2 linked regions of the Canis lupus familiaris genome follow. The protein of the gene in region 2 interacts with the protein of the main gene of each other region in a pairwise test. Links are inferred from orthologs where the notes say so. Each region holds a gene or a part of one and is shown on either strand. Other genes may lie near its edges.

Evidence for each region.
Region 1: the proteins of JUNB (region 2) and BATF interact in binary tests that used the Homo sapiens proteins (3 or more experiments, as listed by UniProt). The link is inferred for Canis lupus familiaris from reciprocal best matches to the Homo sapiens genes JUNB and BATF.

The regions. Positions count from the first base shown.
Region 1 is NC_049229.1:48,851,472-48,855,605, reverse strand, and holds the start of BATF (basic leucine zipper transcriptional factor ATF-like), read right to left. Parts: upstream 2,838-4,134; 5' UTR 2,592-2,837; coding exon 2,529-2,591; intron 214-2,528; coding exon 109-213; intron 1-108. UniProt on the Homo sapiens protein: AP-1 family transcription factor that controls the differentiation of lineage-specific cells in the immune system: specifically mediates the differentiation of T-helper 17 cells (Th17), follicular T-helper cells (TfH), CD8(+) dendritic cells and class-switch recombination (CSR) in B-cells.
Region 2 is NC_049241.1:49,756,892-49,760,698, reverse strand, and holds JUNB (transcription factor jun-B), read left to right. Parts: upstream 1-1,453; 5' UTR 1,454-1,749; coding exon 1,750-2,793; 3' UTR 2,794-3,290; downstream 3,291-3,807. UniProt on the Homo sapiens protein: Transcription factor involved in regulating gene activity following the primary growth factor response. Binds to the DNA sequence 5'-TGA[GC]TCA-3'.

The sequences.
Region 1 (4,134 bases), on a different chromosome or scaffold from region 2:
CTCAACACACACATTCATATGCAGGCAGCCTCAAAGCTATGGTCCAAGCATCTCTGGGTGGTAGGGAGCCTATAGCTCAAGAGGTTGAAAAAATGTCTGAACACTCACCAAGTGCAGGGTGTCAGCTTTCTGCGTCTGCCTCTGTCGGCTCTTCTGGGCAGCAATGCGATTTTTCTCCCTTCTCTGAACTTTTCTCACATCATCGGAGGAGTCCTGGGAAGCAGAAACGATGGGAATTAGGTGAGTGTGTTCTCTCTTTTGGATTAAAGCAGGTTCTCATGCTGTTTGGTATCCGTCTGTGCATCCTTCCGTTTCTTCATCTTTTCATTTGCCCCTTCACCCCCTGCTTACCAAAATGCTGAGCCTGCAAGAGAACTCTTCCCCACACTCTGTTACGCTCCCTTAGGTCCCTATAGCTGTTTTGGCCAAAAGCTACAGGAAGAGGAAAAAGACCCTGGGGCCTCGATAGGGCTGTATTTGGAAAAAAATGGTCAAGGCGATGAAGTGTGTTCATCACCTCTCCTCTTCAGGGCTGCTCCACCCTTACTCTCTTTTTTTTTTTTTTTGGACTAGCATTTTCTTGCCTTTTTTTTTTTTTTTCCAAAACTTTGCCGAGGACCTACAATATGCCAACTTCTGCGCAAGTGCTTTTTCAGAGTTGCTCTGGTTTAATTCCTCAGTTCTGTGAAGTTGATATTATTGTTTCTATCTTATACGTGAGGAGACTGAGTGAGGCTCAAAGGGCTTGCCGAGGAGCCTAGGTAATCTGGGGCCTTGTGTCTTCTGATGCTAAGTCTGATGCCTTTCCAAGCCACTCCCCGCCCCTCACTGGTTTGTACCCACATGTCTTCCACCACATACCTGGGCTGAGGTCCCCATCCCAGATCTTTTCTCCCGCATTCTTTTCTCCTTACATTCCCTTCATTATGCTCAGTGATGTTGACCTTCCCTATGGTCCTGAGCACAATGCCTAATAGAAACCAGTAGCCAAGAACAGCTTTAATGGTGGAGATTACCTGGCTGTGGCAGGTACTGAATGGGTGCTTAGCACAGGAGGACCTCCGGGTGTCCTCTAAGTATATCCCACAGACGGACATGTCCTCTGCTTGGGCAGAGAGGTTAGCTCCAGCATTCCCCTAGATACTGCAGGATAAGTATAGGAGTTTGAGTAAGACCCTTCTGCAGCTCCTGCCCTGTTCCCTCTCACACCCACACAGGAGACAGGGACACTATTTCCCGGGCAAGACTGTGCTCACCAAGCATAAGTCTCAGCAGCGTGCCCAGCACTTCCAGGCCATTGCAGCAGGAGGGCATGGTGTTAGATGGGAAGGAAGTGCTTTGCTCTAAGCGGCATGGGGAACCAGGTTACCATGGAAGCCATGAGTAATTTCCTTCCTAAGAAGAGTACAGACTTCCAGGCAGCCTGACCCATCGTGATACCATCTGGAGCAGAGGCCTGGACTGGTTGCCCTCTAGAGGTCTCCACTATAACTCCTTCCAACCTGCTGCTCCTCTGTGCAACATTTATGACAGATGCTGTATTAGACGTTTATATACTCTTATTTCAGCTGCAGCATCTTGGAAGCCCTCTTGGATAACTGTGCTAAGGAAAGAATGTGGCTTTTAAACCACAAAGTTGGAGAAGAAGTTTTAATCCTTTGAGGTATTGGGTGAGAATGAAGAAGCCTTTCTCTGGAGAGGAATGCCAAGAAATGCGGAGAAGACAAAGCTCCAGAAGCTTTGGGGGAAGGCAGGGTGCCCTATTTCTTGGCAAGCCTCAAGCTGAAAACTTTGGACTTGGAAGTCACAATCTAGATTCCAAACACTCCCAGACTCTCTACCTCCATCACTGTGGTTTCCCCCCCGAGCCGAGCCAAGCTTCTAGTGAGTGTCTCCAGGAAGCTCCAACGCCCTCTCCTGATTCTTTCCTCTGGTCCAGAAGCCACGGGCGGAAGAGGCTTGGTGGCAGCTCCGGCATCCGTCTCTGCTGGCTGTGCTAGCAGCAGGGGCAGTGCCCCAGTAGATAAGAGAGATTCTTCTAGGCTTGCCTGGCTTCCTCCTCTAACTTGCTTTTTTTTTTTTTCTCCTTTCCTTTTCCCTGACGCTTCCCTCTCTTGCCCTGATGGCCCCCTCCCCCGAAGGCACAGGCCGGCCCAGCCCTGTGATGCTGTGCCTCTCCCGTTCCTACTGCCTCGGAGCAAGGGGGACCTCCTCCTTTGAGAGACCAGGGCTCTTTGGTGCACATTCTCCTCCGGGCTTCCTAGAAAGCTCGGTGGGGTGGGGACCCGGGGGAGGCAGGCAGCGGGAGCAGAGAGGTAAAGGGTCCTGGGTAGAACAGGTGCAGGGCCAGGGTCCCGGCCGCTTCATTGCAAGGACCAGGTCGCCAGCGTGACAGGCTGCTCCTGCCACCAGCCACTTCCTCGCTCGCTGGGCCCCTGGACAGGCCGAGGGAGCCTGGCCCTCCGACGCCCCCACCCCCGTCCCTCCCCAGAGAGGGAGAAGGTGGGCTGCAGGGGAAGGGGCTCTACCTGTTTGCCAGGGGGAGGAGAGCGGCTGAAGCTGGAGTCGCTGCTGTCGGAGCTGTGAGGCATGGCTGCAGTCTTCCGGGCTCCCCGCACCGCCCCAGGCGCCCCTGGGCTCTGGGTCACCAGCGGGCGTCCCTGGCTGCCGGCTCCCAGGCCAGCGGCCCAGCCCCCTGCGCAGGTGGCTCCTGTGCCCGCGCCGCCGCCTCTGGCCCCTGCGTCCTCCTCACTCTGGGGTGCAGAGGCACTGCTCCCCACAGGGACATGTCGCTCGCTTTGGGGCTCGTGCGCGCGCTCTCTCTCTTGTGGTTTCTGGTAACTCACACTGGAAGTCACATGGGCGGAAACTTAAACAAGTTAGAAGTTAATTTGAGAGAAAATACATATCTGGGAAAAGACCCGCAGAATTATATGAAAGGAAGAAAAAAAAATACACAAAACCCCAGATACCTTCCGACTGTTTGAAAGGCAGCACAGCTCTCTTCAATTGATGAAGATAAAAGAGAAAAACAGCCCGGGCAGGGAAAAACCCCAGCCCGAATTAGCAAGGCCGCCTCCCGTCAACACGGGCCGGAGGGCAGAGGGAAAGAGTTTCCATTATCAGCCGACTTGATTTTTGAACCAAAATAAAGCAATGAGATTGGGATTTCTTTCTGTTGTTTGTGTGTGTGTGTGTGTGTGTGTGTGTTTTGTTTTTTTTACCCCAAAGCAGCCGCCCAACCTGCCCCGTGGTGGGCCTGGTCCTTGCCCGACTACCCGGCAGAAGAGGCCCGGAGAGACCTGAAGGCCGGCGACAGGCTCTGCCGTGCGTGTTCCCAACATCTGCCCGTCACCTCGGCCCCTCAGCAGCGTGCTGTCTTTGGGGAAGGGCTGCTTCTCTCGTCCAGGGTCTTTCAGGAGCTCAGGATGGGCTTCGAATCTTCATGATTCAAGTGCGTCACCGGGTCAAAGCCCAGAATGGAGGAACCGTAAGAAACAGTGAAATGAGCACTGTACCGGGGACTTGCATTCTGACTTTCCAGAACGCCGGTGGCCTTGGGTAGCTCACCTGAGCTCTACGCCCCTCTACCTCCACCTGTAAATGGAGCGCAATAAAATCCTCCCTGCCCACTTCTTGGGCTGTTTCCAGAAGCAAGTGGGTAAGCGTGGATTAGAACGCCCCTAGTAGGCGGTAAAATATGCTGTGAAGACAGGTGTTACTTGTGCTATTAGCCTTGCCATGAGCACATTTGTGGAGTTCTCAGTAAGCAATCCAACCTCACGGGGGCATTTTGGCTTTAAAAAAAAAAGCCTTTGCTTTATTCCCAGTATGGCTCAAAGCCAAATGCTTGCCTTGCTTAGTCTTAGGAAAGCTAGGAAGCATGGCCCCTAAAGGATTTTGTATCCACTGGTGGGAATTTCTGTCTGAAGGCAATATTGTCCCATAGGATATATTGAGCAAAACAAAATTCCTTTCCTACTGGAAGTTATATTCGAGCGGAAGAGGCAGACAATAAACAAAGTGATATTCCGTTGTATATATCCCATAAGTTTTCTTGTATTGTAGTTTTTGTTCATCTCTAAGTATTTTTAAATATCCCTTGTCATTTCTTCTTTGTAATATTCCTTCTAA
Region 2 (3,807 bases):
CCGCGGACTCCGGCCTGTTGCCATGGCGACCAAGCCCGCTCCCGGGCGCGTCCCCCTCCGTCGGGCTAATGGAATCGTCCCCGGACCGCCTGCCTCCGCGGTCGCCTGCGGGTGCTGCGGGCTGAACCATTGCTGGGAGAGGGAGACTAGAGGCCTATGCGGCTGGGCGTGTTCTGCGCACCCTGGCCTCCGCCAGGGTCGCACGTCCACGTTCCTCTTCTGAGGCGCAGAACCCAACCGGACCCAGGGCGGGGCGCACGGTCCCGTAGGATCCGAGTGACGGAGGCAGGGCCGGGCTCCTTCCCCCGGGGCTGTTGCCACACTTCCTGCCGCGGCGCTCTTTCCCCAGCCTGTTTCTAAGGAAGGAGTGGGGTTGGGCGACCGCGCCCGGGCCGTCGGGGTAGGTTCAGCACCCTGAGTCGGCACGGTGTCGGTCAAGCCCCGGGTCACGGGGGGAGGGCTTGGAGATGGGAGCAAAGTATACTGGCGCCTAGAAAGCACCCACAAGAAGGGGTGGCCAGTCATGGAAGATCCAGCAGTCCAAATCCCCAGGATCCTCAAAAACCCCTCCTCTCATGTCTCAGCTGGAGACCCTGTGTCATTATCATCTCGGCTCTGAAAGTGTGTCCGGACTCTTAACTCTCCTTCATCAGGGCTTTGCAGATGACCCCAGTGACTCCCAACCTCTGACAGGGTCCCCCCCCCCATAATTTCCCAGACTCGGTATACCCCGGAGCCCTCACTTTCTACATAACTAGATTCCCCTTATGGAGGCCCTCAGTCTCTCCCATGGACTTCAGGACCCCTACTCATTTTTTGCATAATGGATCCTCCATCCCCTCCTTTTGCCCTTTTGATCCCCCCCTCACTTTTCCTGGGTTCAGTCCCTCTATTAAAATTCAAGTCCTTTAACCCCTCTGTACTCAGGACCCCCACACATTACCTTACCCCTCTCTCATTTACTCTGGTTGATCCTCCTGTCTCACCTTTGTGGGGTCTCCCTGTGTATATAATCAGCCCTTCAACCCCCCTCGAATACTCCGAGTCCCTCAGGCCTTTTGTGTACACCCTGGAGACCACCCCCGCCCTCCGCCCCAACACGCACACGCGCACGCACGCACACACACACACACACACACACACTTGCTTTGTAACAGTTCCTCGCATCCAGGGGAATCAGTGCCTTCCCTGGAGTCCCTCCCCGTGTATCTCGGACCAGCACCCCTTCCTTCGCGCACCCCGGGGTCCCCTGAGCCCCTCCCCCTGCAGCCGCGCCGAGCCACCCAGCCCGTGGCCGCTGTTTACAAGGACACGCGCTTCCTGACAGTGACGCGAGCCGCCTCCTCCCCTTCCCCACGCTGGAGGAGGGGGGCGCGGGGGCCCGGCTCGCGCGACGGCCAATCGGAGCGCACTTCCGTAGCTGACAATAGCCGTATAAAGGCGTGTGGCTCAGCCTGAGCTGCCGGGACCTTGAGCGCGGCCAGGCCAGCACCGGAGTCAGCAGGGAGCGGGGAGCAGGGGGAAGCGACACCAGGAAAGCGAGCGCGCCGGACAGGGGCCGAAGGGCTCGAGAAGCCGCACGGAGCTTCCGCGCACCGCCGCCGGCTGGCCTCTCCCGGCCGGTGCCAGCTCCTGGGAACGCGCGTCCAGATACCCAGTCCAGCCACCGTCGCGGACAGGGCGCCGCTCGCCGCAGCGAGGCCCGGGGCGGCCCCGCAGGGACCCCCCCAGACCGCCTGGGCCGCCCGGATGTGCACTAAAATGGAACAGCCCTTCTACCACGACGACTCATACGCAGCGGCGGGATACGGCCGGGCTCCGGGCGGCCTTTCTCTACACGACTACAAACTCCTGAAACCCAGCCTGGCGCTCAACCTGGCCGACCCCTACCGAAGTCTCAAAGCCCCCGGGGCGCGGGGCCCGGGACCAGAGGGCAGCGGTGGCAGCAGCTACTTTTCCGGCCAGGGTTCGGACACAGGCGCGTCGCTCAAGCTTGCCTCATCGGAGCTGGAGCGCCTGATCGTCCCCAACAGCAACGGAGTGATCACGACGACACCCACGCCCCCGGGACAGTACTTTTACCCCCGCGGGGGAGGCAGCGGCGGAGGTGCGGGGGGCGCCGGGGGCGGTGTCACCGAGGAGCAGGAGGGCTTCGCAGACGGCTTTGTCAAAGCGCTGGACGACCTGCACAAGATGAACCACGTGACGCCCCCCAACGTGTCCCTGGGCGCCAGCTCGGGGCCCCCGGCTGGGCCCGGGGGCGTCTACGCCGGCCCGGAGCCACCTCCAGTCTACACCAACCTCAACAGCTATTCCCCAGCCTCTGCGCCCTCTGGAGGCGCCGGGGCCGCCGTCGGGACTGGGAGCTCGTACCCGACGGCCACCATCAGCTACCTCCCACACGCGCCACCCTTCGCTGGCGGCCACCCGGCGCAACTGGGCCTGGGCCGAGGAGCCTCCACCTTCAAGGAGGAACCGCAGACCGTGCCTGAGGCGCGCAGCCGCGACGCCACGCCACCGGTGTCCCCCATCAATATGGAAGACCAGGAGCGCATCAAAGTGGAGCGCAAGAGGCTGCGGAACCGGCTGGCGGCCACCAAGTGCCGGAAGCGGAAGCTGGAGCGCATCGCGCGCCTGGAGGACAAGGTGAAGACACTCAAGGCCGAGAACGCGGGGCTGTCGAGCACTGCTGGGCTCCTCCGGGAGCAGGTGGCCCAGCTCAAACAGAAGGTCATGACCCACGTCAGCAACGGCTGCCAGCTGCTGCTCGGGGTCAAGGGACACGCCTTCTGAACGCCCCCCCATACGGACATTCCCCCAGTCTGGACGACTGGGCGCACGCCTCCCAAGGGGCGAGGGGGCAGGCGGTGGGCACCGGCCCCCGGGGCACCGCAAACCACACTGGACTCCTGCCCGCCCGCTCTGCGTCCAGTCCTTCCACTTCGACGTTTACAAGCCCCCCTTTCGCGTTTTTTTGTATGTTTTTTTTTTTTCTGCTGGAAACAGACTCGATTCATATTGAATATAATATATTTGTGTATTTAACAGGGAGGGGAGGAGGGGGCGATCGCGGCGGAGCTGGCCCCGCCGCCCGGTACTCAAGCCCGCGGGGACACTGGGGAAGGGACCCCCGCCCCCTGCCCTCCCCCCTCTGCATCGTACTGTGGATAAGAAACACGCACTCGGTCCCTAAAGAGTTTATTTTAAGATGTGTTTGTGTGTGTGTGTGTTTGTTGTTCCGACTTTTTATTGAATCTATTTAAGTAAAAAAAAAAATGGTTCTTTATTAATTTGTTGTCTTTTTTTCCAAGCCGGGCGGGAGGAGGGAGGAGAATAGTGGGCTGCCCCCACCCCACTCCTGCTTGTGACTCGCGCCAGTGTCCGTGTCCTCCTCGCCAGCTCTACCTAAGCATCTTGCAGCCCTAGTGCGGGCGGCGGACCCTTCTCTGGCCCCCTCCTCCCCGGGGTTGGAAGGGCCAGGGCGGGTACGCGGTCCAGCCGCCCATCACCAGGGGGCAGGAGGCCTGGGGCGAGACGCGCAGTGCGCGGGCGCAGCCCCGCCCAGCTGCGCGCGCTGGGGCTTTCCCCGCTGACGCAGCGGAAGCGCTGCCCCTACATGGGCCGATTCTGTCCAGTGACGCGCCGGCGGTCTCCGGGCAGATTCCGGGAATCCCCTCCCCCGCTCTGCCGGGCAGGGCTGCGGCGCCGGGAAGGGGGCCGGGATTTTCCCAGGCAGGCGGCTGCCGGGGCCCGGAAAGCCCCAGGCCTGGGTCCAGAGCGTCCGCGGTGGGAGGGCCAAGCTCCTGG